3 linked regions of the Caenorhabditis elegans genome follow. The protein of the gene in region 3 purifies or fractionates together with the protein of the main gene of each other region. This does not show direct contact. Each region holds a gene or a part of one and is shown on either strand. Other genes may lie near its edges.

Region 1 (7,837 bases), on a different chromosome or scaffold from region 3:
ATTTGCATCTAATTTGTGGTGAAAATTGTCTCAAATATTCAATTTTTTCAAATGAAAATTTTTTTGGGTCCCACTACGAAAACCGGCTGACTAGTTACTGTAATTTTGCAATTTTTTCAAATTTTTAAAGTTTTAATTTCGGCCTAGTTTTCCTGGTTTCAATTTTTTTAAAAATTCAAATTTGAATTTTTAAGATTTGTACAGTTGCAACAACTACAGTAACCCCGAATTTTTCGTGATGGGACCCAAAAATTCACTTTAATGAAATTTTATGATAATACTGAGCGTTTTTTCATGAAAACTGGAGTAAAAATTAAATTTTTAAAGAAAAATATGCAAAAACATGACAAAAAATTTTAAAATACGTTTTTCGCAGGTTTTTTGAAATTTTTAGCCTTTTTTCTATTTTTAGATCAAAAATCGCCCGTACTAAATGGCAAATTCCTGATAGCTGGCACAGCTTTCATGAATTGATGATCAAATGGTGGCATATTCCATACAAGTACACTTCCATCTCTTCTTGAACTTCGTACAACTGAGAAACGACGTTTTTCGTATGAAGATGATGAAGATTCCAGGGAATTTGAAGAATTATATGGTAGAAATGCAAATTGAACGTCGTTTAGGCACTGAAAATTTTGGGAAAATTGAGAATTTTCGGGCTTTTAAGCTGGAAAATCGCTTTACGCGGCTCGTGTACTCCCCGAGGACAAGACTTTACAGTTTTTGAGCTGAACATTCTTGATTTATGCAATTTTCACAATTTTTTGTAGAGATTTTTGGGAAAATCAATGAATTTTCTCGATTTTCAGCTTAAAATGCAATTTTTGGCGCTTTTTTTTTTGGTATTCAAATCTCCAGTTTATAGCAATAAACACTATTAAATTAGAGATCTAGAATTTTCTGTCATTATTTATCACTTTCGGTTTCAAATCGTCAAGGTTTGCTAATTTAATAGTTTTTTGAAGTAAAATTCGATAAATGGGCGATTTTAATGTTAAAAAATACTAAAAATTGAGAATTTTAGACAAAAATTGCCTTTTTAGAGCCAAAATCAACATAAATTCATGGTTTTTCACAGTAACCACGGCGATTTTTTTTTTAATTTTAAAAGTGAAAAAATCAGTGAAAAATGGCCTGAAATCAGGAAATTTCTTCTTCTCCTCGGGGAGTACACACGAGCTGCGTAAATCGACACGGAGCTCTTACAGATCTCGAGTGCTCCTGAACACCATTTACAGTGGCCACAATGAAGGGATTCGGCTGATCGAAATAATTTGAGGTTGGACGATTATTTGCAACAACTGGCGGTACTCCTTCTTTTTGGAGACTTCTGGAATTTGAAATTTTTATTATTTTTTGAAATTTTTGAATTTTATAGTAAATTTCACCATTTTTATACTATTTTACTATATTTTAGATTAATTTGAATGCTAAAGTCGAAAAAAAAAAATTTTTCAAGAGAATTTTTTCAAGAAAATTCAACTTTTTAGCGTTGAAATCTTGAATTTTTAGGCAAAAATATGTCAAATTTGTGGGAAATGTTCAAATTTTTTCAACAAAAATTCGTGATTTTAAGCTATTTATTTATTTTTTATTTTTTCCAAAAAAATCAATTATCTTTTTTTTAATTATTTTTTTTGCATATTTTTAATTGAAAATAAGCGATTTTAACTCAATTTTTGCCGAAAAAGTCGATTTTTCCCGGGATTTTTCACTCGATAAGCAATTTCTATGAGAAAATTCGTCAGAATGTGCGTTTTGGATATTTTGGCTCAATTTTTGTCAATTTTTCATTAAAAGATATAGTTTTTCTGCAAATAATCTGTTTTTCGTGGAAAAGCGGATTTTTTGTTTCATTTTTTGTTGTTTAAATCAATAATTATATATACGAAAATCTATCGAAATAGTGCAAAACTACTTAATTTTTTAAACAAAAATTTTTCGATTTTTGTCAATTTTTTTTGATTACACGCTAGAAAATTAGGGTATTTCGCAAATTGTATGCTTTTTCCAGGAAAATTTCAAATTTCTTTAGATTATTGATAATTTTATCAAAGAAAATTATTCGTTTTTGTGATTTTTTGTTGATTTTCATGTGTTTTTAGCTGAAAAATTCGATTTTTCCGGTATTTTCCAATAAAAATTTCCGGAATTTTCTCACTCGATAGGCAATTGAAATACATGAATTGATTCATCAGTATATCCAATTGTAACTTTATCCAAATCCGTAAGATATCCAGCCACACAACGTTTCGTAGTTATTTCATTTTTATGAAAAACTACTGTTGAAAGATCATCCATATCAATAATCATCCAACATGTCGATGCAATTATTAAAAGCATTCTTCTTGTTGAACAAATATATGAAACACTTCGAATATGTTGAATTTCTAGTCGTTTTGATTCATCTTCATATAGAGATGTTGCTGGGTCCTTTTTCTCCAGTTCTGTGAGCGTCCACACCTGGAAAATGGGGTTTTAGAGCTTGAAAATGGCTATTTTCGCGTTAAAATTGGTCTAAAATTATCTAAAATCAATTTTTTACCTCGGAAAAATTTAAATTTTTCCGTTTTAGCATTAAAAATAGCTTTTTAAACCAAAAATTAGAATTTTTAAATGTGAAAATTTAAATGTGAAAATCTTATGGTAATTGTCATTTTACAAGTAAAAATCTATTTAAAAACGAGATTTTTGCGTTAAGAACACTTTACATTGTGTGAATTGTTCAAAAATTCGCTTTTTTCAGTCAAAAATTGAAAATTTACATTAGAAATGTCACGGAAATTGCCTTTTAACAGGGAAAAAAGCTTCGAAAATTCTATTTTCTACTCGAAAAACCGTTTAAAATGTCATATTTTGGACGAATTTATACATGTTTTACACAAAAATCAACTGCAATAGCTATAAAAATTCAATTTTTCGAGCTTTTCAACTGGAAAAATGTGGTTTTAGAGCTTGAAAATGACTATTTTTGCATTAAAATTGATAAGAAACGGCCTAAAATCGATATTTTGCATCATAAAAAGAGCTTATAAACTGAAAATTTGAAATTCTCACGGAAATTGTGTTTTTTTTAGTTAAAAATTTTTTTTTAAGCTTCAAAAATTCAATTTTCCACTCGAAAACTGTCCAAAATGACATTTTTTCAATAGATTTATACATTTTTACACCAAAATCAACGTCAAAAGTCGTAAAAATTAATTTTTTTTTTCTTAAAAATAGCTTTAAAATCAGCTTTTTTAATCTAAAGGCTATACAAAAAATCTTCCAAATTAAGTAGAAAATTGGCTTTCTGGAGAAAAAATTCCAAAAACTGTGATTTTTAAGTGAAAAAAATTTGAAAATTTCACGGAAATTGTCGTTTTACAAGTTTGAAAAATCGAAATTATTAATAAAAAACTTTTAAAATCCAAATTTTTGGGCAAAAATTACAATTTTTTGCTCAAAACCACCAAATTTCGTTCAAAAATAAGCTTGAATCAGGGTATCGCGATTTTTTTTTCCATTTCTACATAAAATTGAAGATTTTTTCTAGAAAATTTGTATTTTCACATTAAAACATTTAAAAATGCAATTTTTCCGCGAAAATATGATATTTTTTAATGTTTTTCGGTGATTTTTGGCTGAAAAAAATTAATTTTTTCGCTTTTTAATCGATTTTCCATTAATTCCACACCTTCATCATTCCACTCAGAGTCATTCCAATCAACTGATCCTCCTTTTCCGGATGACTAATAATTGTAAAACAGCTTATCCAATCCGGTTCAACTCTTGAAGAAATTGAGAATACAACTGTCAAATCTTGTGGATCCATTACTTGAATATCACTATAATCTCCAATACAGAAAAGACGAGTTGCTCTCGTGTGACGGGACGATTTATACGTCTGAAATCAAAAAAATTCTCGGTTTTTTCGGCTAAAAATCGATTTTCCAGCGCCTACGTATGGATAAATATATCTGTGAATTGCAATAGAAGATGTTGAATCAATGCACCGTCCATCTTGAATCTCCCAGAGGCATACACGTCCGTCGGCTGAAGCTGAGACAAAACGTCTGGAATTTTTCGGAAATTATCGATTTTTTCCAAATCCTGCGTTACTAACGTATTTGTCGGTGTATTTGTTGTCTGAGAGATTGCTGTAATCTTTTGAGAATGTCCAATCATTAGCTGCTTTGGCATAAGTCCTTCTGCTAGCTTCCAAATAATAATGTGGCCATTTTCAGCGCCTGAAAATTTCGAAATTTCAGATTTTTTGTTTTATTGTTTAGAAAATTCGATGAATATTAACCTGTGATAATTGTTGCGCCATCAGGAAGCACACGAATTGCGCAAATCTTGTTTTCCGGCGGTTTCGGGCCCCAAATGACAACTGGAACGGAGAGCGCCGGCGATTTTGTGCCGGCTGGCGCGACTTCCACCATTTTTCAGCTAGATTTTCAGATTTACAGCAGAAATTTACACAATAATTTCATAATATTTAATCTGAAATGAAATCTGAATTTCTTCAATTAAATAAGCTTTTTTTTTAGAAAACTTTAATCGGAGCAAGAAAAGGGCAAAGTTCGATAGCCCGTAAATCGACATGAGATGCCGCGGGTCTCGCAGGGAAGAGAGCCAACATGGCATGCGCCTTTAAACTTGTGTGGATTTACGGGCAAACAGCCGTTGCGCAAAACAAATTTTATTTTTTATTTTATCATTTAAAATCAAAATAAACTATTTTCAATCGATTTTTTTTTGTTTTTTTTTGTTTAAAAATCAAATTTCAAATTTTTCTCATCGAAAATAATAAATTTCATCACCGAATTCCCTCTCTGTAACAGTTTCCGCTTGGTTTCCAATTTTCCAATTTCAGGGTACATTTTCCGATGAGTATAACCAAGGATACGCATTTTCCAAGTGACGAGGAGCTCACTGTTCCTCAGGAAATCACTTTATCAACTCCATGGCTCAAATCCATCGCTCCCTATATGGCAAAACATTGCGAAAAGGAGGCAAATGTTGGTTTTTCTGCCAAATTTTCGATAAAATTGAGATTTTTTGCAGGAGTTCATGCTTCGACGAAAGGAAGCCGAGGATCCACGTGCCGTTTTGAAGGAGGGAGCCGCGCTGACCGCGTGTGGAGTCAATTTTCTTCAATCTTTGAAGCGTTCCTGCCTTCCACAGACTCAGAAGCTCGCCGAATGTGTTGATCAGAGCAGTGCCAAGCTTTACATGTCAAAGTGAGCTTTCCAAAAATGAAATTTCATCGAAAATAAACCGTTAAAAAATTTTAACGTGATTTTTTTCCGAAAAAAAAAGCGAAAAAGCAGTAGAATATTCAATTTTCAGGTGCCATGACGACCAGAAGGAGCTCGATGCCTGCGTGGAAGCTAATTTGAACTTGACGCGTCCAAAGCTTGGATACTTCAGCAAACTTCATGTCTATGACTCGGCCACCGCGGCTCCAGGTACAGAAATTATAGAATTTACGATAAAATTAATTTAAAAATGCGAAAAAATCAATATTTTAGCTGAATTCTTCCACTGTTTTTCTCTCAATTTTTGTATGAACTTTTCAGAAAAGTTCCCAGAAACTCCTGAAACTTGAAAAATTCTAACGTTTTTGCATATTTTCCTGAAAAAAAAACCACTTTTTTGTTAAATTTTTCGCTTTTTTGACTATTTTAAAGCTTTTTAAAACTAAAAAGTCACGAAATTCACCTTTTTTCAGTCAAAAAAGCCTTGTAAAACTGGTAAAATTTGTATTTTTCGGAATAATTTCAAATTTCGAGCCAAAATATCACTATTTAAACCTTAATTTCAGACATTTTTTAGCGACAAATTCAAATTTCTATCCAAAAAATATTGTATTTTAAGTTAAATTTTGATAGATTTTGCGGAAAAAATCCGAATTTCAAGTCAAAAAAATCAATTTTTTCAGTTTTAGGCATCATTCCCACCTGAATTTCACGAAAATCTCACTAAAAACTCATTTAAAATCCCATTTTTCGCGGCAAATTCAATTTTCCCCAATTTCAGAGGTGAAGCTCCGTGACTACAAGGCAGAAGCAGCTAAAGTGCTCAATGAGCTTCCAGCCGACTATCATCTTCGCAAAGACTACCGTAAATACAACGACTGGCGCTACAATATTACTGAAAGCTAGATTTCTCTGAAAAATTGGCCGTTTTTCTGCAAATACCCTTCGTTTTCCCGTAGAGTTCTCTCCAAATTCTCCTATTTTTTTCTTGTTTTTTCCCGTTTTTTTTTCCAAAAATTTAAATTTTTTCAGCGAATAAAATGTAGATTTTCTTTAATTTTTTTTTTTCACTTTTTCAACCTTTCTGGTTTTAATCCGTGTGCTATTTCTAACAAATTGTGTGATTTTTTGCTGTGATTAAATAATTCGATTAATTTCTTATTTCAGACCTTATGGAAATCGTCTCAAGAGCATGGGAATCTGTAGATTGGGACCGAATTCAAGTTTTTTGGAAAAAAAAATTATTTAAAAAATCTGAAATTTCAGACAAGAGTGGAGGCTGAAGTGACAGCACTTGGACAACGACAAGATGACAGTGAAATTCGTAAAACACGATTGGTTGAGGAGAGTAATGCATATAGAGGCAGAACTAATAAGGTAAAGAATTGGAGAAAAATTGGCCTGAAATCCGGTGAAAATCGAATCAAAATATGGGAAAATTGCCGAAAATCCAGCAAAAATAGAGAGAAATTATGGAAAAAATGGCTGAAAATCCGGCAAAAATGGAAAGAAATTATGGAAAAAAAATTGGCTAAAATCCAGAGAAAATCCGGATAAATTGGCTGAAAATTCGGCAAAAATGCTGAGAATTTATGGAAAAATTAGCTAAAAATCTCAGCGAAAATTACTCGAAATTTTAGGAAAAAAAATGATTGAAAATCCTGCAACATTGGGGAGAAAATATATAGAAATTTGCTAAAAAACAAGAAAAAAAATGAGGAGAACTTTTGGAACACTGGGCTGAAAATTCAGAGAAAACGAGTATAAATTCTTGAAAACTGAGCTAACAATCCTGCATAATTTGAATAAAAATTCAGCGAAATTAATGAAAAATGGACCAAGCTCTGTCGATATTTATAAGTGAGGATTTTTTCCACCGATTTTTAAATACAACTTTTCTTGAAAAAAATGCAAAAATGTGCTCGGAATACTCATTTTTCAGTAATTTTCAGTTATTTTGCTTTAGAAAATAATGGTGCAAATTTTCTTTAAAAAATCGATATCTCTGGAATTTGGATCTGTGTAATTTATAAATAAGTAGTTTTTTGGAATTACTAGAAAACTTTTGGAAATGCTACAAAAAATGTAGAATTAGTACATAAAAAATGTCAATTTTTTTGAACTTTGGTAAATTCCGGTGGTTCTCCAATATGAAGTGAAGATTATGTGCTCCTCAAATGATCGATATCTCGAAAATCGTGATCAATATCGATTGATTTTCCCGCCAAGTGTCATACCATCAATCGAACATTAGTCGAATCTCTCTCTCTCTCTCGCCATCTGTCATTCAAATCGTTTCTATCTCGTTCTCTTATGAGCTCTGTCCTTTTTTCGTAATTTTTATTTTTTGCTCTATAGTATGTAGGTTTTTGTACTACTTCCTAGTCTATTTTTTTCAACTTTTCCTGTAAAAAATATTGTTTATTACCAGCCGGTAGCATATGCACACACACACACACATACATATTTCTAGTAGTGTCTGTATTAGCTCATAAATCATCAGATTAGTTTACATTTTCAAATTAATCCTATAGATATATCACATTTATTTATAGCTCTGGAGGGCATTTTTCAAGTTTTTAGATTTTCTA
Region 2 (8,185 bases), on a different chromosome or scaffold from region 3:
TTTTTTGGCTGAAAAATCCAATTTTTTGGCTGAAAAACCGTCAATTTTTCAGTAAATTTTCAGCCCCAAAAATCGTCAATTTTTCGATTTTCCCGCCGCTGCTTACTGTAGTAAAAATGGACTGGCAAATTGCATAGTGTCGGAGACGAATTTCAACGTTGAAGCCAACAGAAATTCCCATCGGAACATCATAAAAAGCGATGAAACAACTGATGGAATGACTACTGGATCCTTTTCCTGTTCAGATGGATCCTTTTTCGCCCAAATACTCGTATCGTGGATGTATTCTGCAAGAAATTTGAATTTCCCGCCAAAAATTGACCGAAAAGTGATTTTTTTTTTTGGGAAAATCTGAGAATTTTGGAAATTTTTCCACTAAAAACCGCGGAAAAAACCGGATTTTTTCACGAAAAAACTAAAAAAAATTCAAATCTCCCGTTTGTCAGAAAGTGCGCTCCATCGCACTTACTAAGTCTCTTGGGCTCCCAAAACGATTCCCAAAGTTCGCTGAGAAATTCTGTTCCACTTCGTTCGTTAAGCTCGAAAATGTCGTCGATCTGGAAAAATTGGCGTAATGTGATGATTTAAGCGTAAAACGGCCTAATTTGAAGATTGAAAATGGACTAAATTAAGCTTAAATAGGCCTAACTTAAAGACAAAATGGGCTAATTTCAACGACTAAGTTTAGCTTGAAAATGAGCTTATGCTCAAGCTTGAGAAGGTCTGATGTAAGCATAAAACGCCCTAATTTATGCTTGAAAATGGACTAATTTAGGCCTAATTAAACCTCAAAATGGCTTAATTTAAGCTTGAAAATGGCCTCATTCAAGCTTAAGAAGGTCTAATTTAAGCATAAAATGGCTTAATATAGGCTTAAAAGGCCTAATTTAAGCCTCAAAATGGCTTAATTTAAGCATAAAAAAGCCTAATTTATGCTTGAAAATAAACTAAATTAAGCCTGAAAATGGATTAATTTAAGCTTGAAAATGGGCTAATTCAAGCTTAACAAGATCTTTTTTAGCTTAAAAAAGACTAATTTAAGCCTAAATCGATATAATTTAAGGTCGAAAAACGGTCCTATTTACGCTTAAAATGGCCTAATTAAAACGCGAAATGGGCTTTTTTAAGCTTAAAATGACCTAATCTAATCTCAAAATCCCCCAAATTTAAGCTCAAAATGGGCTTATTTATGCTTGAAAATGGCATAATTTAAGCTTGAAAATGGACTAATTTTAGCTTAAAACGACCTAATTTTATCTCAAAGTTGCTTAATTTAAGCTCAAAATGGACTAATTTAATCTACCTAATGGCCTAATTTGGGCTTAAATTCAATCATTTTAAAGTCGAAATACCCTAAAATAACCTAAAGATGGCCTAATTTAAGCTTAAAACAGCCTAACTTAAGCTTGAACATGGACTAAATTAATTCTAAAAATGGGCTTGTCTAAGCTCAAAATGTCCTAATTAAACCTCAAAATGGCTTAATTTAAGCTCAAAGTGACCTTATTCATTCAAGCTAAGAAGGCCAGAATCTAAGCATAAAATGGCCTAATTCAAGCTCTAAAATTCCGAAATTCGGGGAAAAAGTCCCGAATTCAGCCATTCAGCCTTAATTTCACGACTTAATTTCATCCAATTTCAGCTTAAAAAGGGTCAAACTTTGCAGATTTTGGCTTAAAATGGCTCATTTTCATCCTAAAAAAGCGTTTTTTTTTTTGGCCTAAAATTTTGTAGCACCTCCAAATCCCTCCTGGCTCCTGTCCACGGGATACTATTGAACCACCACAGTGTGAGCCGATTCAAGAATGAGCTCTGCAGCTCCGGTGATGCTGCACTTTTCGACGACGCTTTTTCATCATCAGTTTTAGCTCCTCGCGGATCAGCAAAACACAGTGAAAAAGTGTAGAGAATCAGTGCCGAATACCAACTTAAATAGGCAATCGATAAAAATTGGGCGGAGTCGGTGGTGGTGAGATCATTCGGGAAGGAATTCGAATTTTCCATTCGAATCCATTGATAGAATTCTGGAGCACCGCAGAGCAAAAAGATTAATGAAGTGACGTGTTGAATTCCAGATGATACGAGACCACAACGAAGACGAATGAGATGAACTAGGAAGGTACCCGTCTGTAAAATAGGTAACGGGATTAGAGTGGAAATTTAAATTTCCCGCCAAAAATTGACAGAAAATTTGAATTTCCCGGCAAAAATTGACTGAAAATTTGAATTTCCCGCCAAAAATTGACTGAAAATTCAAATTTCGGCAAATCAAGAATTATTATTACACGGTCGTCAATCAGTAGCGTTTCAAAAATTTTTCGAATGTGTAATAAGACTTTTTTTTCGGATTTTCAAACAAATTCTTTTTCGGACAATTTTCAAGAGAAAATTCAGCAAAAAGTGGGCGGGGTCTATTCTACAGTACCCCGGTGAGGTTGGTATTATTTTGGCAAATGCATAATATCAAAAATTTTTTGAATTTTTCAGAAAAAAAATGGGCGGAGCCTAAATTCTTATGAACTTTGAATTTGCGAATTTTGTAATTTTTTTTGAATTTTGCAAATTCAAATTTCAGATTTGAAAATCCGAAAAAAATTTCTTATTATACATTCGTAAAATTTTTGAACCACTACTGATTGACGAACGTGTAATAATTTTTTTGCTTGAAATTTCAGCGGGAAATTCAAATTTTAAGTCACTTTCCCGCCAAAAATTGATAGGAAATTTGAATTCCCCGCTAAAAACCTGATTTGCCGGAAATTTGAAAAATGACATTTTTGCCGGAATTTTTTTTTTTTTTTCTTTTTTTCTAATTTTTTCTTTTTTTCCGGTTTGTGAAAAAAATGGCGGAAATTGGACAAATAGTATTGTGCCGATTTGCCGGAATTTTTTTTTTCTGGCAAATTGCCAAATTTGCCGAAACTATTTATTTTTAGTCAAATTCGGCAAATCGGCAAATTGCCGGACCGGCAAAAAACCGGTTTTCGCCGAATTCGCCAAAATGTTGAAAAACGGCAAAATTGCCGATTTGCCGAAATTTGAATTTTCAGTCAATTTTTGGCGGGAAATTCAAATTTCCACATCCAAAACCGTACCCAAACAAGAACCCATAGTCCTGGATAAACATAATACGCAGCAGCGTATGAATTCTTCGAGAATAACACATAACACCACGTGGCAAGTGAGTTGGCAGCGAGAAAAGCGACAAGAAGAAGCTTAATAATGAAATGAGCACTGAACGGAAGCCTCGCGAATCGTTGAGCCGTCAAATGACACTGAGCACTTAGAAATGGTAAAGTGAGCAGGAAGAATGCGGCTGGAACCCAGACGAGCACCGTGTGTTGAGCACATATTGAGACGTTCGGTAGACCCGTTGAGAACTGCAAAAAAAAATTGAATTTTTTACGATTTTTTTTTGGATTTTTTCACCAGAAAATCGTAATTTTTTTTTTTAAATGATTTTTCTAATTTTGCTTTGTGATTTTTTCGAAAAATTTTTTTAATTAAAAAAAAAATTTCTTTTGGAAAGTTTTGTGATTTTTTTCTGAAATTTTTTTTATTTGTTTTTTTTTTTTGGATTTTTTTAAAACCAGAAAATCGTAATTTTATTGGTTTTATTTTTAATTTTTGTTAATTATTTTGGAAAATTTTTGTGATTTTTTTCTAAAATTAATACAATTTTTTTGGAAAATTTTTGAATTTTTTATGGCTTTTTCAGAATTTTTTTTTGATTTTTTTTTGGATTTTATTACCAGAAAAAATTTTTTTTTAAATTTTTTATTCTAAAATTGTGAGTTTTTTTTCGAAAACGTAGTGATTTTTTTGTAAATTTTAAATGTATTTTTGTGATTTTTTAAAGGATTTTTCGCGAGAAAATCGTAATTTTTTTGGAATTTTTTTCTTGAAAAAGTTTGGATTTTTTTGGAAATTCTTCTAATTTTTTCTGAAATATTTTTTTCAAAAAATTGGAATATTGAAAAAAAGAATTTCATTTTGAAATAAATTTCTAGCTATTTTTTGGATTTTTTTAACCAGAAAATCGTAATTTTTTGTTAATTTTTTTTTGGAAAATTTTTGTGATTTATCAAAAACAGGCTAATTTTTTGTGACTTTTATCTAATTGTTTTCAGATTTTTTTTTGGTGAAATTTTTGAAGTTTTTCGAAAAATTATTATATTTTGTATACTATTTGGCCTTTTTTCTGGATTTCTGGAATATTTTTACAATATTTTTAGTGATTTTTTTTGTTTTTTTTAGCAAATCGATAAATTCCATGAAAATTCCTCAAAAAAAGCGCAAATTTTTATTTTTTTTTTCGGAAAAATTTTTTTCAAAAAAAAAACTTTCTGATTTTTTTTTTGCCATTTTTCAAATTCCAATTTTCAAACAAAAAAAAATCAATACCGGATGGCCGTCGCCACAAAACGAGGAAAGCATCTAATTTTTGGAGTTTGTGTTGAGTATGAGGTCGCTCGCAGGTTTATTTCTGAACAAAAAAAAAGGAAAAATTGAACGTTTCTATGGTAACACAAAGCTTTTTGAACGAGAAAATACGCTGAAAAATTGCTGAAAATCCGAGATTTTTTCAGTAAAAAATGGGAATTTTCGGATTTTTTAAGGGGGTAAAGCTGTAAAAGTGGTCTGGAAAGTTGTTAATTTTGAGCGTTTTTTCACGCTTTTTTTTTGACAAAAATTCGGAAAATAAAAGGAAATTGAGCAATGTTCAGCGCTGGAATTGACTGAAAATTTGAATTTCCCGCCAAAAATTGACAGAAAATTTGAATTTCCCGCCAAAAATTGACAGAAAATTTGAATTTCCCGCCAAAAATTGACTGAAAATTCAAATTTCGGCAAATCGGCAATTTTGCCGTTTTTCAACATTTTGGCGAATTCGGCGAAAACCGGTTTTTTGCCGGTCCGGCAATTTGCCGATTTGCCGAATTTGACTAAAAATAAATAGTTTCGGCAAATTTGGCAATTTGCCAGAAATAAAAATTCCGGCAAATCGGCACAATACTATTTGTCCAACAATTTCCGCCATTTTTTTTGACAAATCGGCAAAATTTCCGAAAATGCAAATTTGCCGTTCTTTAACCGGCAACTTTGACGAGTTTTCCAAATATAAAATATTCCGGCATTTTCGGCAAATTTGCCGTTTTTCGAGTTTCTGGCAAATTTGCCGACTTTGCCGGTTTTTTGAAGGTTTTTGACAAAGTCGGCAAATTTGGAAAAGAAAAAATTCGTCTCGGCTACTTTTTAACATTAAAAATCGCAAAAAAAGTTGAAAATCCACCGAAAAATCTAGTTTTAAAAGGGTTTTTCAAGATTTGTGGAGTAAAAAACTGTAAATTTTACTCAAAAAATTCGATTTTCAAGTTGTTCAGCGAGAAAATACACTGAAAATCGATTTTTTCAGCGATTTTTCAAATTAAAACATTTAAAAAAGCCAAAAAAGGTTCGAATGAACCGAAATTCCACTGGTGAAAACTATAAACCCTGGAGAAAATCGGGAAAATGCCTTCCCGGCGGGGATTTAAATATATTTATGCAAATTTTCCATCGTCAGAGAGGCGGGAAACCCAAAAATCATCGTATTTTGTCATCATTTCCGCGTGTATTTTGAATTTTATCGGCTGATAAGAGAGCGTTATCAGCAATTTTCTTCGAAAAAATGGGTAAAACTTGACTTTTTCTGGCGCAGATATGGCGGGAAACTAGAAAATTAAGAAATTTTGATGAAAATCTGAACAAAAATTCGAAAAAATGACGAAAAATGAGCGGAAATAAATTTAAAATTTGAAAAAAACCGCCGAAAAAAAACATTTTTTTTCGTTTCTGTGCATTCTGACGTGACGGTGTTTGCGGACAACGCGCACCAATTGACGACAATTTTACCGAAAGTATTCTAAATTGGGTCTGGAAATACTGAAGTTTCAGCTAATTTTAAGCAATATAAGCGTTTTTCAAGGGAAAAATGTTCAAAAATTGAATTTTTAAGTTAAAAATCCATGAAATCGCCCAGTTTTTTTTCAAAAATTTATTAGAATTGCCCAGAAATTAAGAAAAAAAAAAGAAGTTTTTTGCTAGGAAATATTCAAGACAGTCAGAATATTTTCGGCGGAGAATTTAAAATTTTCATGTGGTGTCAAAGTGTCCCGTTTCGGTGTGATCTACCAAAAATGCGGGAATTTAGACGCGGATTTCTCAACAGATTTTGTATGGTTAAGAGCGTGTGCTGACGTCACATTTTTCTCTGCAAGAAATTCCCGCATTTTTTGTAGATCACACGCCAAAATGGGACAGTTTGACACCGCGGGATTTTCAGCAAGATATTCAAATTTTCAGTCAATATTTGGCGGGAAATTCAAATTTTCAGTCAATTTTTGGCCGGAAGTTCCAAAATTCAAAATTTCAGTCAATTTTCAGCGGAAAATTCAAATTTTGAGTCAATTTTCAAGAGGGAAATTCAAATTTTCAGTAAATTTTTGGCGGGAAGTTCCAAAAAAATTCAAATTTTTAGTCTTTTTTGGCGGGAAATTCAAAATTTCAATTAAATTTTTGATCTCTCGAACTCTTCCAATTGAAACTGAACTACAGGTTGATCACAAACACTGAAAAGACATAATTTAGTCAAAAAGTGTAGAGTTCAACGCCAGAAGAACACACATGCACCTGGAGTACGGCCTGGGATGGGGAGCCACTACTGATAGAGAGAGAGACGCAGAGAAAACGGCAGGGTTTCAGGTTGTAATAATAGAAAAATGATGACAAAAAATGAGTGAAAAGTGATAGATAATTCCCCTCATCAACCCGTTATCATCACTTTTTTCAGACAAAAAATGCTCAAAATCGTACTTAAATACTTTTCTAGACACGGATAATCACATTTTTATGTGATTCGTGTGTCTGACTTTGTATTGGAAAAAAAAATTGAAAAATTCGTGGAAAATTGATTGAAAACGAAATTTTTGATGAGAATTGCGAAATAGTTCAGGGGCTTCTGCTGAGAGAAGACCCTGAAAAGCATTACAAATAGTAGTGGAAGTGATAAGAAGAAAAAAAGCAAAAGATTTATCAGAAATGAAGATATTGGAAACGAACTCAACAGTTGATGGATGTTTGATTTGAAAAAAAAAACAACAAACATAAAAAAATAATTTAAAATTGAATAAATCTATTCACATGAAGCAAAATTTCATGCTGAACAACTTACCAATTGGAAATTTTTTGATATCCCCACTCTCTGCTGAGATACGACGGTTTGAAGATACCGCGTGCAGAGAGTGTGGGGGAGGGGGAGAGCGCAGACAGGCTCGCCGCCTGCGTCTCTCCCCCTCCACTGCTCTCTCGCCGCCCTAACTTTGCAAGCTTGTATCTCCGCGGAGAATAGAGATATCGGAAAACTTTTTACTGGAAAAATGACCAGCGTAAAATTTTACATCGATTTGACCCATTTTTTAAAAATTTTGAATAAAAAATGTCCCGTATTTTTTCTGAATACTCCCCAAAAAGAATTTTGATAAGTTTTTTGAATTCTCCGCCAAATTTTAGCCCCGAAAAACATTTTAACCTGGCCCCGAGCCATCAGTTTTGAAAATATTGTTTATATGGCGTAGCTGGGTAGAGGGATGCCTTGCACTCTGAAGACCCTGGTTCGACCCCCAGCTAGCGTCGATAGTTTTTTCTATACATCCTGTAAGGCTCTGAAAGTTTTCAGGTTCTTCACAACCGAGCTCATGTGCATAAGCTCCCCGTGGAGGCTGCTGGTCAGCTGCACAAAATTGCGAGAAGAATTTCTGCGGAGAAAATAAGAAAAGCTAAGGAAAATCTGGAAATTTTACAATTTTTAGATGCAAAAAGCAACGGGAAAACGGCTCAACAGTGATGTCGACGAGATTTTAAACATTTTGAAATTTTTTAACGAATTTTTTTATTTTTCAAAAAACAATTTTTTTTCAAAATAAAAAATCATCCCTTCATATCAAAAGCGTCGTGATCAAAAGCTCCACGAAAAACTGATGAAGCGGTTTCCGAGTGGGGAATCGGTTGGAAGCGGGTACGGTAGAATTTGATGACGTGGCGGCGATTGTAGAAGGCGATGGTGACGATGTTGAGGATCAGCAGGAAGATCGAGATGCCCAGGAGATACTGAAAAAGTCGTTGTAAAAAGTCAGAAAAAAAGATT
Region 3 (8,169 bases):
GCGGACATTGACAATCAGAGCGCTACGTTTCGAAAGATCCTCACTTCTTTATTCTTTATCTAAAATTCATGAAAAAAACCACAGAAAACTTCAGGGTCATCACTTTCTTCCCGTCTTCTCTGTTCACTTGGTGGACCGCCATCCGACGAAGAAGATTCGACAAGAATGTCTGCAGTCTCCAACGGAAATCCTTCGATTGTGTCGCCACGTGGCGAGCATAAAGGAACATTAATCTTCCTTCATGGACTCGGTGATCAAGGGCATGGTTGGGCAGATGCTTTCAAGACAGAAGCCAAACACGATAATATCAAGTTTATCTGTCCACACAGGTACTTTTGAATGCAGAATTATTAATTATAGCAGAAAAGTACATTTATAATAGAATTAAACAAAAGTATCGAAAAACTAAGAGAAAATTAACAAAAAAAATTTTTTAATAAAATTTCGGTTATATATTGATGAGATAAAACATAATTTTCTTCTTAAAAGAGGAAAAATATAGAAAATTTCAAGCTATTTTTCAAATCGATCTTTTTAAATATCGGTAAAAACAAAAAATCGAAAAACCGACACCCTCCATTATCCACTGAAACAGATTCACTTTTTTCAGCTCTGAACGTCCAGTAACCCTCAATATGGGAATGCGAATGCCAGCTTGGTTCGACTTATTTGGCCTCGATCCAAATGCTCAGGAAGATGAGCAAGGAATTAATCGAGCTACCCAATATGTTCATCAATTGATTGATGCGGAAGTTGCAGCTGGAATTCCAGCTTCTCGAATTGCTGTCGGTGGATTTTCAATGGGTGGAGCTCTCGCTATTTACGCTGGTCTCACATATCCACAGAAACTTGGAGGAATTGTTGGACTCAGTTCATTCTTTTTGCAGAGAACCAAATTCCCAGGGGTGATTATTCAAATTATTTAAAAAAAAATTTTTTTTGATTTTTATAGAGCTTCACTGCGAACAATGCTACACCAATCTTCCTCGGACATGGAACAGACGACTTTTTGGTTCCTCTTCAATTCGGACAAATGTCCGAGCAGTATATTAAAAAATTCAATCCGAAAGTTGAGCTTCACACCTACAGGGGAATGCAGCATTCGAGCTGTGGAGAGGTATTTTATTTTTAAAAAACGATTTTCGGAACATGAGTGTCGGTTTTCCTTTTTTAAAAATCGAAAACGATATTTTTTTTTTAATATAAAAAAAAGGAAAAAAATTGTCGACTTTAGATTCCTCGAATTCTGGAAAAAAAACGTTTTAAAATAATTTCCAGATTTCGAATTTTCGAAAAAGTTATAAAAATGAAAATGCCCTGAAATTTAAATAAAAAACTTTTTTTTTTCAAAAATCGAGAAATCTAATTTTTCACTGTTTTTTAATCAAAAAATCATAAATTGAGAAACTGGGAAACATGTTAGAAAAATTGTACGGAAAAAACGAGGAAGCCATTGATTTTTCAAAATTATGTAAAATTTTTTGTGAAAAAGAAAAATATTAAAAAGGATTAAAACAAAAAAATAAAATATAACATTTCTTCTATTCCCAAAAAATCTACATATTTTTGATATATCTATAAATAGTTTCCTCGTCTTTTTCCGTATTTTTCTAAAATTTTTCCAAGTTTTAAATTTTCGAATTTTCGACGTCCTCGTTTCGGGTAAAGAATTACAAAGAATTAAACAAAATGAAAACTTCAAACTATTAGATCAAACTACACATCATATTATGCATAATCAAAATTATATTAATCATATTAATGTATTTTCAGGAGATGCGTGATGTGAAGACCTTCTTGAGCGCCCACATTGCCCACTAAATATTCAATTCATTCCAAAAACGATTTTTTTAAAGTTTTTTTCACCAGACACACTTTATTTCTCTCAATTTTCAACAGACACGATAGTTCTGTCCAACCTCCATTCGATTTGTGTAGTCCTTTTCCGGCATTCGTACTTCAAGCTCATACAACGTGTCGTCTGTTTCATTTCGATGAGCCATCATAAACGCACGTCTGTAAATGTGTTCATTATTTCATGTCATAAATTATTTGCAATATATACCGTTCGTTTCTTTGTTGAACCGATCGTTTGATATACTCCAAATCTTCTGGAGTCAATTGATGACGAACATTTGGTCCTGAATGGATTCCAATTCTTATTTCTATTATTAATTTATTATCTCACCATTGATAACTGGCTTTTCATTCTGATCTTTCTTTCTCTTCTTTTCATCAGTATTATCAACTTTTCTTGCCGGTTTTGCTTTTTCTGGTGATTTTTGTTTTTCTCCAATTGTGGGCATTGGGTAGTAAGTAGATGTGGCGAACTGTTTTTGTTGGTAAGTAGGTGCAATAGCTGTATGAGGATCTGATCCCATTCTTTCAATAGGAATTTCAGATGCTTGTCTGAAATATTCAAATAATTATTTTGTTAGTTCGGATGTTTCGATAAGATATTATTCAGATGCAAAATTTTTATTCTGCCCGAAAACTACGGTACTGTACTATAATTTTCTCGCGAAAATCACAAAATATTGCATCCAAATAACATCCAATACGCCTTCAAATTTATGAAAAATTACGGTAGCTTATGAGTAGGTTTTGGCACATGTACATTCGTGTGAACGACTGTGGTTGTTTCATGCTTTTTGACTTCTTGCTTGACTTCTGAAATAAAAAAAAACTTTCATAAGATGCTTTGTTCATTCAACAAAAGCCGTTTACCTTGCTTCTTGATACTTTTCTCTGGAACGTGTGCACTAGTCTTCTGATGAGTTGGCTCCACAGTATCGTTGAGCAAAGTTTTCGAGTAATGCTTCACATTTAGTTCTTCTGATTCAACACTTGTCGATTGACTTGTTGGCTGACTGAATCATAGAATAATTGATAATCTGAATATATTAAAAAGTTAACTCACGTTTCGTCGAAATGTGCAACTCGATTGTGATGAATCGATCGTTCCAATGGATGCTCTTTCTTCAGTATCGCTGATTTGGACTTTGAGTTTTTGTTTTTACTATGACTACAGCCCATTCTTGAATCTTTCTCTCTTATTGCACACGATACGATTTCCTGGTATTTTGTCGGCGGAAGAATATATGAGTAAAATCAGAAATGAATCTTTTTTTATCTAAAGTTTTTTATTCGAAGAAAGAATCTTCGCGAAACATGTTTCTGTCACAGTTTATCTGAACTACAAATCTTAGGTTCACGAACTTACTTACTTGCTTCGTTAATTAAAAAAAAATTATATTCTTTTGCTTTCGTTTGCATGCAATTTCCAAAACTATAACTCCTATTTTCAGATGTCAAGTGCAAAGAAAAAACCAAGTCTCGTGACATGCCCCCAGTGTAATGCTGTTGTTCTTACCAAAGATTCTTTAAGACATCAAGACTTCTGTGGAAAGCCCGTCGTAGAATCTGAAATTGCGTGCGCTCAAAACGGAACGCTACGTGGATTTAATGTGGCAGTGGACAAAGCAGAAGGTTTTTTACCCCCAGACGCTGTTGGATGGGAAAAGGTTCGATTTTTACAAAAAACAACTTTAAAAAATCCGAATATAGCTGTAAAAATTTACATATGTAAGTTTTTCTAAAATTCTAAAAATCACTCTTCAGTTTTTTGAATTTTTTGCTGCAAAAATGAAAAAAAATCGCATATATTCTTTGACCCACTTCATTTTTTCTAGGAACACTCAATTCTAATCAATCAACAAACAATGGAAAGTCTAGGTCTACTTGCTCGGCAACCAGTTCGAATTATTCATTCTTCTGATTCTTTTATTGGAATAGTATGGCCTTGCAAAGAAGTTGCACTTCTCAAAGTATCCATAATATCTTCTAGAATTGCACGGGAACGAATGATCACATTGGAGTCTTGTGGAAGAGTTGAAAAACTCAAAAGTCTGAGTGTCACAGTCAAGACATCCTTGACTTTAAATCCGGCTCTCAGTGGATTCTTAGAAGCATATCTCAGTCACTCGTATCTGCAATACAATTCCAGTGTTGATCTGAAATATTTGGGTCAAAATGTTACAGTAACCCCAGAAGAACCAATCGAGAGCAAGATGAGCGCCATGGGAATAGATGACGACAAGAAAAGAAATTCGAAAGTAGTATCTACAGCTGTTGGCTACAAAATTCAAATTTTGAATGCTTCTGCAGAAGGATCGACTTCAGATGTTCTTCAAACTCTTCCAACTGACTTATCAAATATTGGTGGATGTTTCACCGCCAAACAAGTTCTCGAAGATTATGTTATCAGTCCAGTTCGTCAAAAAGAGTCACCGTGTTCAGTTTTGATCTGGGGACTTCCTGGAAGTGGAAAGACACTTCTTTTGAAAGAAGTTGCGTTAGTTCTTTCTGGATCAACAACCTACATTGGTAGCTGTGAAGAATTGATGGAATTGAATGGAGTAACAACTGGAAACATTGTAATTGTAGATGTTAATGAACTAGAAAAAGAAAATACGAAAGCAAATCGAGCATTGAGCTTTTTGTTGGGCGACGAAAAGGTAAGAACAATGATTTTTTATATTATTGTAGGGACACAGAAAAATGCCCATTTTGAAATCGTGTGCGCTGTACGGACAATTTAAATGTGTTTTTCTGAGTCCCTATAATAGATAGATTTCCTTTTTCTAACTTTACAATTCAATATTTTACAGAAATGCGTGATTCTTTGTGTTCGATCTTCCGAAACTCTTGACATTGGATTCCGTGTGAGATTCCCGATTGAAGCAGAAATCACTGTTCCAACACAAGACGAGAGACTCGACATTCTTTCGAAAATTGGCAACATCTACAATTTCCCATTGGAACTTCATCTTGATGTTGCTCGGCACACTCATGGATTCACTGGCGGAGATTTATGCTCATTACTGAAAGCGGCGAAATTTGCAAGAGGAAGAACACATTTGGAACGAGTAAATGACGCAAGAAAACGAATCAGACCAACTGGAATTCGTCAATTTATTCTAGAAGTACCTAATGTTTCTTGGAATGATATTGGAGGAAATGAAGAATTAAAGTTAGAAATTCAACAAGCTGTTATTTGGCCTCAAAAACATCCAGAAGCTTTTGAAAGATTTGGAATTGATCCACCAGCTGGAATTCTTCTTTACGGACCACCCGGATGTAGTAAAACTTTAATAGCACGTGCACTGGCTAGTGAAGCAAAAATGAATTTCCTCGCTGTCAAGGGACCGGAGCTTTTCAGTAAATGGGTTGGAGACTCTGAAAAAGCAATTCGAGATTTATTTTCAAGAGCAAGACAAGTTGCTCCAACTATTGTATTCTTTGATGAAATCGATGCAGTTGGTTCTTCAAGAGGTTCGGAAAAAAGTTCTGGAGTTTCGGATCGAGTTTTGGCACAATTGCTCACTGAGTTAGATGGTTTGGAAAAGTCAAGTAGAGTTATATTATTGGCGGCAACTAATCGGCCTGATCAATTGGATAGTGCACTTTTAAGACCTGGTAAGTAGGTTGTCTGTTTAAAAAATATATTTTTTTAACACAAAACTATGAAAAATTGATGTAAATACTGCACGACTGAAAATTTGAAAGTACAGTACTCCTGGTTGTATCTAATAGAAAATTGTCGTGTTGAAACCTACTACTGTAGTTTTGGGGAAAAAATGCCCGTTCGAGTAATAATATTTTTTTTTGTATTTCAGGTCGCCTGGATCGTGCTATTTATGTCGGATTACCATGTGAAGTGACACGAAGAGCCATTCTCGAAATGCGAACTAAAAAAATGAAATTCGATGATACAGTTAGAACAATTGATAAACTAGTGGAAAAAACATCAGGATATTCCGGTGCAGAACTTGTTGCTGTCTGTAGAACTGCTGCAATGTTTGCAATGCGTGAAAGCATTGATGCTACAATCGTGCAATGGACGCATTTTGAACAAGGTAATTAATATTATTAAATTATTCATTAACTAAATATTTTCAGCTCTTGCCGCAGTTGTTTCCCGAACTGAAGCGTATCTTCTTGAAATTTATGACGATTTTAAAGCAGGTCGAGCTTCGAACGCATGAAAATAACTGTTTACCTGATTGTTATTGTTAAATTGATTTGTTCTTGAATTTTGAATTTCTTTGATTGTTGAAAAATGAAACAAATTTTATTTTTGAACAAATTGTGATTCGAAGTTTAGAGCTGCACAAGAATGGAATTCAATTTGATAGGAGAAATTAGCAAAACGTTTTGATTCGTTGGATGAAAGCATATTACAGATAAAGTTTTTGAGAAAAAAAACGACAACAAATTTAAAAGTGAGCAGTAATTAAAGATAAAGTTTGGGATGAAGGGATTTTTTGGGTACACTAGAAAAATGGAATTATGCTTAAACAAGAAAAATTTAAAGTCCCGTCGGAGCAGATGAACTTGTGTGTGGAATTTGGGTAACAGACGAGAAATACAGTACTCTCCGCATTTTCATGAACATCATTAATCCCAATAGGCTGAGTGATGATCATAAATTGCGTTAGAATACAAAATATTTTGTTACACGTACAAAACACGCGAATTGGGTAGGGGAAAGTTAGTAGACATATAATATTTGGAATATGGAAAGTTATGATTGAGGTGAAGCTTACGCGGTTAAATTAACCGGGGGAGATGAGATAAGTTTGAAAATTGGATTCAATCTCAATAGATTAGAAATTAAAATAAACTTGGGAGGTAAACTTTAATAAAATAACTCGAAAAAGACAAATATCACCTCGATATATTTAAATTGTCCACATTGTTTCTCCAATTTCAATCACCTTTCGTTAAAAACGATGAGAACTTTTAGATTCTAGAATTTACAGAAAACGATAAGAGATTGATTATGTTGTACTAGGAAGATGTGCCATTCGAAATCGTCCGACTATTGGTACTCGTTGCGTTAGTAATTGGTGCAGTAACACGAATCGCAGAAGCCTCCATATCGATGAAACTTCGGAGACGTTCCAGATATGCTGCATGAAGCTCCACGTCATTGTGACCAGCTCCTATAAATTTGAGATTTTATTTACAAGAATTCCAATTTTAAATACAATTTTTCCGATTTCATTTCGAATCAGAAAACTACAAAAAGCTTATATCGTACCTGGAACCCAGAGTGGTTCTACTGACGTCGGGCATCTTTCGTAAATAGATACACCATGTGAGAAATCAATAACTTCGTCGTCTGTTCCATGAATCACCAGTGTTGGGCATTTGACACGTGGCACTTTCTCAATCGATGGAAACGCGTCACAACACCATGTTGTCGTTGTTCCGGGAAAAGCGACACGCATTCCGGACATCAGAGGAGAATGTAATACGAGTGCCGCCAAATCCTCGCGGCTTGCCAAATCGACACTTGGCACGGTGCCTATTGATTGCCCATAAAGAATAATTTTCTCTTTTGGAACCCCGAACTCTGATTTTAGCAACTCAAAAGCGGCGGTTATGTCTGCGTAAAGGTTCTTCTCTGACGGTTTTCCCGTTGAACATCCATATCCGGAATAATCATAACTGAATACATTACAATTCAGATGGAATCCAAGACCATACAAAAATGATGTCATCTGTCCAAGATCAACAGCGTTTCCATGTGAGAAGAGCAATGTGAAATGAGAATTTGGAAGTGGTCGAATCATTGTACAGGCTACACGATTACGCCTCCGAGTTCTCGTTATTCTCATTTCGACACAATTCGCCATATCGACTTCCTGATGAGGCCATGCTGCTCGTCCTTCGATTAAAACCAACTTGTTGTCTTCAGTAATAGTATAACTGGGCTCTGGAGGCATGAATGCCAATTTCGAAACAATGGATGATGGGAATGGAGGACAGCAGAATAAGCAGCAGAGATCTCTGAAAAATTGAAAAATTATTTTAAAAAATTTATAAACACTTAAATTTATGGGAAAAACACCCACTAAAACTCACTTGAAAGAAACACTATTTGGTCCGCCAGCCCGTGGTGGTGGTGATCCAGGTGTACTCGACATTGATGAACCCGATGGTGCTCCTGACGACATCTGAGTGGCACTGCAGGCCAATCTGAAATCAGAGAAATCGGTGGCAGTCACGTGGAAATGTGGAAGAGGAGGGAGTCGTGGGAAAATGAAGAAAGTAAAAGAAAAATAGAAGCGGGTAGAGTATATAGCTGAAGACGGCAGAAAT

The links. The genes of interacting proteins can lie anywhere in the genome.
Region 1: the proteins of cdc-48.3 (region 3) and rbc-2 fractionate together in Caenorhabditis elegans (co-fractionation; one large-scale study listed by BioGRID). This does not show direct contact.
Region 2: the proteins of cdc-48.3 (region 3) and mrp-7 fractionate together in Caenorhabditis elegans (co-fractionation; one large-scale study listed by BioGRID). This does not show direct contact.

Annotation. Positions count from the first base shown.
Region 1 is NC_003281.10:2,524,202-2,532,038, forward strand, and holds the start of rbc-2 (WD_REPEATS_REGION domain-containing protein), read right to left. Parts: upstream 4,489-7,837; 5' UTR 4,479-4,488; coding exon of another isoform or gene 4,449-4,478; 5' UTR 4,428-4,448; coding exon 4,295-4,427; intron 4,233-4,294; coding exon 4,109-4,232; intron 4,059-4,108; coding exon 3,947-4,058; intron 3,890-3,946; coding exon 3,680-3,889; intron 2,467-3,679; coding exon 2,165-2,466; intron 1,334-2,164; coding exon 1,210-1,333; intron 630-1,209; coding exon 431-629; intron 1-430. Other genes in the region: ndua-8 (NADH dehydrogenase [ubiquinone] 1 alpha subcomplex subunit 8), read left to right, coding at 4,875-5,006, 5,053-5,228, 5,338-5,456, 6,028-6,152; Homeobox protein cut-like ceh-44, read left to right, coding at 6,419-6,469, 6,513-6,623; cone-1 (Protein CASP), read left to right, coding at 6,419-6,469, 6,513-6,623.
Region 2 is NC_003283.11:19,671,146-19,679,330, reverse strand, and holds the start of mrp-7 (Multidrug resistance protein mrp-7), read right to left. Parts: upstream 4,489-8,185; 5' UTR 4,438-4,488; coding exon 4,405-4,437; intron 3,381-4,404; coding exon 3,096-3,380; intron 2,128-3,095; coding exon 1,738-2,127; intron 558-1,737; coding exon 470-557; intron 288-469; coding exon 107-287; intron 1-106. Other genes in the region: Y43F8C.11 (G_PROTEIN_RECEP_F1_2 domain-containing protein), read right to left, coding at 7,969-8,148. UniProt on the Caenorhabditis elegans protein: Negatively regulates cellular toxicity by mediating the export of environmental toxicants such as methylmercury out of the cell. Plays a role in inhibiting methylmercury-induced dopamine (DA) motor neuron degeneration.
Region 3 is NC_003279.8:8,030,836-8,039,004, reverse strand, and holds cdc-48.3 (ATPase family protein 2 homolog), read left to right. Parts: upstream 1-3,308; coding exon 3,309-3,524; intron 3,525-3,692; coding exon 3,693-4,517; intron 4,518-4,670; coding exon 4,671-5,478; intron 5,479-5,678; coding exon 5,679-5,918; intron 5,919-5,961; coding exon 5,962-6,047; 3' UTR 6,048-6,142; downstream 6,143-8,169. Other genes in the region: ath-1 (palmitoyl-protein hydrolase), read left to right, coding at 95-329, 611-905, 953-1,117, 1,774-1,821; K04G2.4 (SHSP domain-containing protein), read right to left, coding at 1,893-2,016, 2,066-2,141, 2,189-2,409, 2,586-2,670, 2,728-2,870, 2,921-3,036; Alpha/beta hydrolase domain-containing protein aho-3, read right to left, coding at 6,853-7,007, 7,106-7,857, 7,933-8,024. UniProt on the Caenorhabditis elegans protein: ATP-dependent chaperone which uses the energy provided by ATP hydrolysis to generate mechanical force to disassemble protein complexes.